2 linked regions of the Oryzias latipes genome follow. Each later gene encodes a partner of the first gene's protein in a complex. Links are inferred from orthologs where the notes say so. Each region holds a gene or a part of one and is shown in the gene's direction. Other genes may lie near its edges. The genes, in order: disp1 and shh.

Evidence for each region.
Region 2: the proteins of disp1 (region 1) and shh are in contact, whole or in part, in a cryo-EM structure (PDB 7E2I), measured with the Homo sapiens proteins. The link is inferred for Oryzias latipes from reciprocal best matches to the Homo sapiens genes DISP1 and SHH. Residues at the interface, in NP_001356523.1 of Homo sapiens: Lys242, Thr244, Gly245, Tyr246, Lys247, Ala248, Glu260, His265, Arg299, Phe336, Gly337, Asp338, Leu339, Cys340, Gln341, Arg342, Thr343, Glu459, Arg899, His904, Asp906; in NP_000184.1 of Homo sapiens: Pro49, Asn50, Val51, Thr55, Leu56, Gly57, Ala58, Arg68, Glu71, Phe73, Lys74, Leu76, Thr77, Pro78, Tyr80, Pro82, Arg96, Leu97, Gln100, Lys186.

Annotation. Positions count from the first base shown.
Region 1 is NC_019882.2:13,642,982-13,647,492, reverse strand, and holds the start of disp1 (protein dispatched homolog 1), read left to right. Parts: upstream 1-1,482; 5' UTR 1,483-1,673; coding exon 1,674-1,679; intron 1,680-1,685; exon of another isoform or gene 1,686-1,922; intron 1,923-1,935; exon of another isoform or gene 1,936-2,132; intron 2,133-4,511. UniProt on the Homo sapiens protein: Functions in hedgehog (Hh) signaling. Regulates the release and extracellular accumulation of cholesterol-modified hedgehog proteins and is hence required for effective production of the Hh signal. Synergizes with SCUBE2 to cause an increase in SHH secretion.
Region 2 is NC_019878.2:19,521,890-19,526,458, reverse strand, and holds the start of shh (sonic hedgehog protein), read left to right. Parts: upstream 1-1,601; 5' UTR 1,602-1,940; coding exon 1,941-2,240; intron 2,241-4,569.

The DNA of each region.
Region 1 (4,511 bases):
GTTAGAGCAGTCGATCACGGATTAGAAAGTTTCAGGATGGTTCCACTTTGCCTGTGCCGAAGCAAGGCAAGACACTGAACCCCGACTTCGCACTAGCACCATTAGTGTTTAAATGTGTGTGTATGGGGACTTTTGAGGGTAAAGCACTTTAGGCCTCAATGAAGTTAGAACAGCACCACATACGTATACAGCATTTACAATTATGACCATTTGTTCTAAACATGGAGAAAAGCCAGTTTTTGATTCTAAAAATTTTATTTTTATGTAATTTCTATGTAAATGGGATCACTTATGGGCCGCATAATGGAGCCAAATTGGTCAGTATGGTTCCAACAGAAACATCATCCTGTGTTTAAGACGCTGTGCTTTCTGCTCTAAGACTCTGACTGCAGCTGAGTGTGTCCATGACAGGAAGTCATTCCCAAATGTGAACAAAAAAATTCATTTGACTGAATAAAAGATGTGATTGTAGGAACAAATGAAAGTCAAAATGAAGTGCAAATGAAGAATGAAGTTGGATGGGCCCGTTGACTGGAGTCCCCTTTGTGCAACCCAACAATGTTCCAAAAACACTGAGTTGGTCAAAGTTCCGTGCTCCATCAGCCCCACTGACTGTACAAGAAAAATGGACCAGGTGAGTGTGACATCGCTCATAGAAAAATGACTTACTTCCAGCTCTGACCAGATGAAGTCAATTCAGTTGCCTTTTTTTTATTTTTGCGGTACGGATGTCGCTATATATGGAGCCGGACGACATCAGTAAGCAGCAATTGGTCCCAGTCGGTCCGAATCAATGTTTCTCTGGCAACCACTCTAGCTATCTAGGCATGCAGTCCTCAGACGAGGAAAGTGAAGACGTACATGGGTCTATTTGTTTTAAGTGGATGCATCAGAATCGAGCGGTGCTGGGAGCTTGTGGCCCGCCAATTTCAGGTGTTGCGTCACAACCTTTTTAAAGGGCAGGTTTTTTATCTGCTCTTGATCTATCGTGATTTGAATAAGGAAATACTCAGAAATGCATTTTTAATCTTAAATTCTTTCATATATGTCCTTCATCAGGAGAAAAATGCATTGTTTGAAATATTAAACAAATTAATGCTTTTTAATGGAATAAAAGTAAAAAATATGCAATTCTGAGGCTTCTCATGACTACACTACACATTAAAGCAAACTTTAATCAAAGCTTGCTTTGATTAAAGCTTAGCTTTTTTGCAAAGTTATTGTAAAAGATTCTAGAGTAGAGATTTAAAATAGCACATTCTTTCCCAAGAGTCGAATGAAAAGAAAGCAAAGTACCCATTATTACTTCTTAAAAGAGCAAAGTTTTTGCTTTTGAACTTAAAAGTTGATGAAAGTTGGGGGCAAAAACTCAAATATATGAATTTACTTTTTTTAAATAATATTGAAAAGTGGGGGGGGGTCAAAATAATAATAATAAAAATATAGCTTCCCTTTAAGGAAATTTCATTGCTTTTTTTTCTTTATTACTTTAAAAGCTTGGCGGCGAAATTACGCACACAATGCGCACGGATATTCGCAGGCTGCGCGTAAAATTCTTGCGTGCGGCATTGAGGGGGTTGAAGCAGGCAGTGTGACCGTCCTATCAGTGCTGCCCGGCGCAGTCCCAACCCACCAGCGTCTCTCTGGAGAGAGCGGCGCGCAGATCCTTCAGTATGTTTGTAAGTGAGAGCGTGTGAGGTGGTTAGACATTCGAACAGGACGCACAAGAGAAACTTGTAGCAGCCTCTTTTATTTTCTTTGCTGGGAGGGGTTGATAGGTTTTTTTAAAGGTGCTTTCGGATACAAAAAAAAAAAAAAAACATTTTTGTTTTACATTGTTTCATTGATGTTGCAACCCGTCGCATGCTGCCGATTCCCCCTGGCGTAACGAGCGCAGAGTGCCGGGAGACACAACAAACACGGTTGGACAACGTTGATATTGACGTCCTTCACTTTGCTGTTTGCTATCTGTTCGTTTTCTTAAAACTTTTGTCAGGTTTTATAGCAGAAAGTCTGGTGGTTTTCAGCAGCAAGGTTTGGAAAATTTAAGTTAACTTAAAGTATCCATCTTGACTTCGTGCGTCTTGTTTGGCAAAGACTCATTATTCTCCCAGGAGTTTTATTTTTAGAAGGTAGAGTGAATTATTTTCTTATTGGAAATATTATTATTGTTTTGGTTACAGAAGTTTTTTTAACTTATCCTTAAAAAAGTGTATTGAACAGATAATATACTGTAAAATAATCCAAAATAGACAAAGCAGCAGCTTTACCCGTCCTATCATGCTTTCTCTAGATTATTTTTGGTAGTACTTTTAGTTAAAAAAAAAACACTCAAAAGTACTTAATTTTTCCCCCCTTACTGGTCAGTAAGCACTAGCCTGAAGCACCCATATTTACTTGGCATGTTTAACCACCCAGCTGTGAGTGAGTGAATTCCCTTGAGGGGGGGGGTGCTCATACATGTCCAAAATCTCTCCTGACAACCAGAAACTTGTCAGCCAGGACTGCATGTGTCCTGCAGCCATGCCGAGCATGTGCACATCTGTAAGGTTACTCCCTGCTGTTGATTTCATTATTCCAGGCAGTGTTGTCATGAAGCGTCTCTTGACAGATTCCTGGTAATTGCTGCCTATTAGCTCTGATTAAAGGGGTGCAGATGCCTCGCCTTGCGCTGTCGCCCAAAGGTCTCTCCTCATCTCTCACACCCCATAATCAGAAAGCCGACTTGAAAGACAGCAAAAGGAGCTCTTCGTCATAACCTGTGTTACTTCAAACCACTTATGAGTATTTTGGTCTGTTTTTTCACCCCCGTTTTTTTTACATGGTAAATTAAAAATAAATAGCTTTTCTTTTAGGGGCTTGGTACATGGTAATTCCCTCTCCTACAAGTAATATTAAAAATCTACACAATTTTGCCTAAAAACTGGTAGAAACAACAGTTTGGTCATATTTATTAGTTTTAAAGATAAGATAAGATTAGGTAGGAAGTGGTCCAACTTTGTTTTTTAGAGCTAAAACACTGCTTTTTATTTCCTCATTTACTTGCTACACTTTGTTAAAAGTATTTAAGATCCTGTTTGGTTTACTGTATCTGGGCTCAACTATCACTTTCTCTGCTTCTGAATCACTTGTTTAATCCATTCTGTTCTAGTTTTGTGCTTTTATTTTGAAGAAAAGACACAAGGCCCAGCTTGTGTCCGCACAGAAGTATCACCTCCATGTCAATGGTGTGGATTGGTGCACACAGAACTGAGGCTGAATTCCAGTGGATGCCAACATCATGAAAAATCGTTTCATTTTACACAAGAACTGCTTTCAGTTTTCTTCTCCTCAAATGCTCCTGCTTCCTTTGAGTGCTTTTGAGTCATTACAGGGTTTTTTTGACAGCTTTTTGTGAACCCCAGACTTATGACTTCATCTGGGCGCTCTGCTATTCTGAACTCTTCAGGCTCTGGAGTTCCTCCTCCTCCTCCTCCTCTCCTCCCTGCATTTTATTTTCCCCAGCCCCGGCCTCTCTGCCACCTCTGACCCCACCGGGCTCTCAGGCTCATATTTCGCCACTCACTCATGTTCAGGTGTCACATCGGTTGAATAAGTCGCATGTCTCAAGTCCGATTCCTTTGGATGAAGGAACTAGCAAGTGTGACACATTGCTTAAAGCTGAACTGAAGGCTCATCTGTTTCACAAAATGACATTTTTGACTGTTAGTTTAAAATAAAACCCCATATTTGTGCACAGCTGCCTTTGACAGTTTCATTAGATGACCGTGTTTTATTGGAATCATTAAACTTAAACAAAATCCCTTAAGCTCCACATACATTTGTATAAGCTGGACTTAAATCTTGAATCTTTCTTAAGTGGCTGCTTGGCTTTACGACAGAACACAAACGGGTCATATTTTATTCGATATTGACACATACCAGAGCACTAAAGTTACCGGCAGTAAAGTCTGCAGCATCTGAGTCCGTTTCCATGTCATCAACTTCCAGTTTGCGTGATGCCATCACAGATAACACATTTTCTTCTTTCAGTGTCTTCACACTGACCCTCGCATAGGAGAAGCATTTTTTGATAAAAAAAATTACATTTTAACAAAGGACTGTGCAGTTATTTTTCCCTGCTAGTCTGATACCTCAAGGATTAAAAGTATAGACCTTTTGTTGAGTGCTTTTAGTTTGAAAAGTTAGTTTAAAATATTGGAAGTTGTCATTTGCTTTAAAAAGTAGTTATTTGATATACATTTTTAAAACTACTTGGGGAAAAATTCAGCACCTTTTTAACGGTTTACGTTTTTTAAATTCCCACTCCGATCATATTTTCACCTGTTGTAAAAACGTACCAGTGGTCTTTTTATATCATTATGCCGATTTTAGAAGGGGAGCCAGTTTAGCTCGTGCTGGTTTGCGGCGCCTTCCGTCCGTGACACCAGGGTTCAAATCCGGGCTGCTCCCTATTCCCTTCTCTGCTTCTGTGCCGGTCCCAAGCCTGGCTAAATTGAGAGGGTTGAGTC
Region 2 (4,569 bases), on another chromosome or scaffold:
CCGTTTTCACGCCTTGTGCTGGATTAGTAGTCACATGCAACAGGCTTCTGAATACGAATTGTGAAATTCACTCCCTATTACATACAGACTTTATCATGATATGAAAACTCTGTGGATGCACAAATTCATGAGAATTTTGTTCTTCTGACATAAAAAAATACATAAATTCTTACTTTTGAGCTTGCACATACCTTCACTGTCTGATTCCCAGGTCAAACCCGAAAACTGCTTGGACATTTTTACATTTTTGTAAATACTCTGCACCTCAGGTCTGACTGAGAGTCGGTTCCTCTGTGGGGGAAACTCAAGTTCAAACCCATCAGCACTACGAGCTCTCGGAGCTGCATTATTCATTGCATTTTCTGTATTATTCATGTCATTCCACATCACATTTTGTCACTTAGAAGCAATACAGTTCAGTCTCTAATATTTTCCCTGTTGTTGCTTTTGTTATTACAACACTTTGCCCATGGATCATTCACATGAGGACTCTCACCACCTCCTCCTTTCAGCTCGGTGGCTTTAAGGAGTTTGTGTGTCACATCAGGATTGATCTCAGAGCTGCGACACCTGAACCAACACTCTGACCCGGAGCCAAATAGTACCACGCGGTGTCCCTCAGGGAACTGTAAACTCCCAGCACTGCTGTGTTTGAATAGCACCTCTGCAAAAGCAGCTGCAGAAATATTTCTGATGAGAAAATGTTTAGAATTTCTTTGACAACTGAGAAAGTGATGCTGGAAGCAGTTTGTTTTAATCAAAATTTGGTAATTGTGCAGCAAGTATGGTCTCACCTTCACTGGTTGTTCCAGCATGGCACCATGAGAGGTGCACCATGCTGGAGAATAGCCAAACTGAGATTTAAAGAGCTAGATTTGCTCATTAATATTTTTTTATTTCTGTCTTTGGGTCAATTATATTTTATTTTCCTTACATTACTTATCATCTGAATGTGACATTACAGATGGCATTCCTAATTAGTTTTATTTGAATAATATGGAGTAAAAAGCTTTTACATCTTTCTTTTTATGGAACGTTTTATGTTATATATTTACCACAGACAACAGTGTCACTCTGGAAGTCACTTTGCTCACTTTTCTTAGAATTTAGATCACCTGATAGAAAGAAAATCCTGTTATGGGTTAATTATCTCTGTGCTTTAAAGCCCTCTGCATGCCAGGACGTCGGTTAGAACAAATGCCAATCTTTGCTCCTTTTTATTTTTTACACTGAATGCATTTATTGATTTATTTTTGTTTTTCACTGCAAATCCAGGTGTGTGCATGCGCGCGCCGGGAGCACACTCGGCCATAAATGCGCACAGGCGCGCGCAAGCGCACGCGTTGAAGTCACTTCATCCAAGAGAGCGCCGCTTCAGATTTGAGCACAGCATTGTGCAAGTTGTCTGCGCTTCCTCTGCGTGTGTGTGTGTGTGTGTGTGTGTGTTTCGTGAAAGCTGGAAAACGGGAGGGAGGGTGAAAAAAGACGGTTTATAATTGATGTTTTCCCATGGAGGAGCCCCTCCTCCCCGCAGCGGAGGCTAACCCCCAGGTGGGAAAAATCTTTTAAGATTTTTTTTTAATGTGTGTGTGTGTGCGCGCGCGCGTGTGTGTGCAGGACAACATCAGGAGGGTTTGTCTAGTCCCTCCCCTGCTATATAGATCGGTGCTATAATACAAAGCATTAAAGGCGGTCGGCTCACACACGCTGCAGCTCGACTAGAGATCCCGTGGCTTATAATTCCCTTACTACTTTTTTTCTTCCAACCCCTCTTTCGATGTGCCCCGTTATTAGCGTTAGTCTGAGGCGTTCATTTCCGCACCTGCCGCGGTAGAGACCAGGCGAGACAAGGACGGAGCGAGAGCCCTGACAGACGCGCGGCTGAGACCAGCACCGGTGACTCGTTTGAGATCTTTAAAGGACAGGAGGGTGGACAGAAAATGCTACTCTGGGCCAAATTTGTTTTGGTCGGCCTCTTCTGCTTGTCCTTAGTGTCTTCTGGGATGGGCTGCGGACCGGGAAGGGGCTACGGCAGAAGAAGACACCCGAAGAAGCTGACACCTCTTGCGTACAAGCAGTTCATCCCCAACGTGGCGGAAAAGACCCTCGGGGCAAGCGGCAGATACGAAGGCAAAATCACAAGAAACTCCGAGCGATTTAAAGAGCTGACTCCCAATTATAACACAGACATCATATTCAAGGATGAGGAGAACACCGGAGCCGACAGGCTAATGACTCAGGTAAGGAGACAGAACCATTTCCTCCCCTCTTCTCCTAACGCACCATCCCGGCGCACTGCAACAACCTCCTTGTCGGTCTGGATTGCGCACCTTAAGTGAAGTGTGTTGTTCCTGCCGCTGAACTCTTCACACTGAGCCTTTTAACTTCACTGTGAGAGCAGATGCACTTTATGCACCAGCATGGGAGTTTGGAAACGCTGCGGGCTTGAAGCGAGCATTGAAATCCAGAGAAGTGATGTGCAGGAGAACAGTCAGGACACTCGGCCTGCATGGTTGTGACAGTGTATATAAAATATTAATGCGCCCCTCTCCTCACATCTATATTCACATCTATATTTGTATCTCTATGAAGCCTGATTTGTTGCTCTACACGCGCGTATTCATACTAACTTACATACAGGGCTTGTTTGGATGCTGCGGCTCATTTATGCGCCTTTTCTTGTAATAACAGCCATGAACGTCGGGTTTGCGCGCCGCTTCAAAACACATGGCGCAGCTCATTCGCACAATTATCCTCAACCAACTGCTGTTTGGCTGCGCTGGATTTGTGCACAGTTTCTTTAGCTTCATCAAGACTTCAGGACTGGATCAGGATGGCATGTGTTTCTCTGCTCCCTCCTGATGCAGCGCGTTGGTGATCAAATCAGCGCAGAGAGGAAGACGCGATACAGTGGAAAGATGCAGTGGTTTCTGCAGGATGCCGCGTCGCTCCAGTGTGACTTTTTAGCACTCCCATCCTGGTGAATTATTCACGCCGCTTGGGTGATATTGACTCAGTAAGAATGAAATGCCGGTGGTGATGATGGCGTCGCAGGTTGTGATGAAGCTCTGAACCATGCATGCGCATGAGCCTGATAAAATATTCACCGTGCGTCCGTTCTCCGCGTGCCCCCACCCTGCGCTCCCCTCATCCTCTGTGTGAGACGCCTCGAGGGTCTCACTCGTGGGGAGGAAATCACTGGCCCGGGAGGTGATTTCGAATATTAGAAGAACAGAAACATATATAGAAGCACCTGCTTCAATCTGAAGACTCTTTGGAAAATGTTCCACCTGCTGCACTGGCAGGGCGCGTCCACGTGGATGAGTGGCTAAAATGCACGTTTAAGTCTGTTTATTGCTGAGTCGTTTGTGGCTGGCGCCTCACTAGCCAGTCCTCATTCAACAACTCTTTGTGCGTGTAAAAGGAACTCAATATAAACTTTGAACTTTTGGTCAGTCGGGGGTCGGCGCAAGTTAAACTAGGTTATTCCTGCGTCATCGTGCATTTCACAGCAGAGCAATATCAAATTCAACCATGCAAATCCAAACAGAGGGGAACGCAGTAGTGAATGACATAAGCATAATCACATGGAGATTTAAGCTGTCGCAACGTTTTTGCTTTGTTTTGGGCTTTGTGCCACTTGATTTTTACGCGCGGGATTTTACGCACGCAGAAAGACCGGCTCCTCTCCTTATCTGGTGTTTCAGAAAACAGGTGTTGTACATGAAGTAAGGCACGTGCCTTCAGGAGCTCGGTTAGATGTGTGCAGTAAATAAATTAATGAGTCAGCTCACTGAAGTCTGGCCAGGACTGTGTTTTTGAAGGAGGAGCAGCTCGCCCCCAGGAAAGTTATCAGCAGATTTGGTTTGCTTTACACAAGTTTTCAGATAGTTTTTATTTATTTTCTCTACATGTCTTCCACAATCTGATCTGATCATTGTGGGCATCGTTTTTCGTTGTTTCTTTTAGAGAACTGCACTTCTTTATTTTTTAATTTGTCCACTATTTTTGATTTTTGAATTACGGAATTATCTTTTGCTGTTTTTCGGTCTTCACGCTTTACAGGAGATTAAATGGCTCATAAAAGTTTCTTTCGTGTTTATCCATTCTGTAAAGGTAGAGATGAGATGGGAGTTTGTTTGCACTGACAGGTAGCTGACAAGTGTTTCCTTTAACCCAATCATTTGTGAGAAGATTAAGTGGGCAGGCTGTTGAACAACTTTACGAGGAGCCCAGCGGTCCAAAGCGCCCCGCTGGGCTTCATGGTGGCTGAGTAGAATTTGGCTTGATTCGTGGCACACGACCTGATGAATTAATAAAAGGATAAAGCTTTGCACCGCTTTGTTCCATGTTAAAAGTGCGCAAAACTTGTTTTCTAGTTGTTTTAGTGCATTTTGCGAGTGAAACAGCCCTCATAAAACAGCAGTTGTCATAGAATTTTCTGAATGAAGCGTTTAGAGATGCTCTTCTGCACGCCCTCACAGATCTCCAAAGGTCTGTCAGTCAGCATCCAAAAACACCTCAACTTAAGCAAGCAAGTCACGTTTCAGGACTTTGCCGGAGAGGATA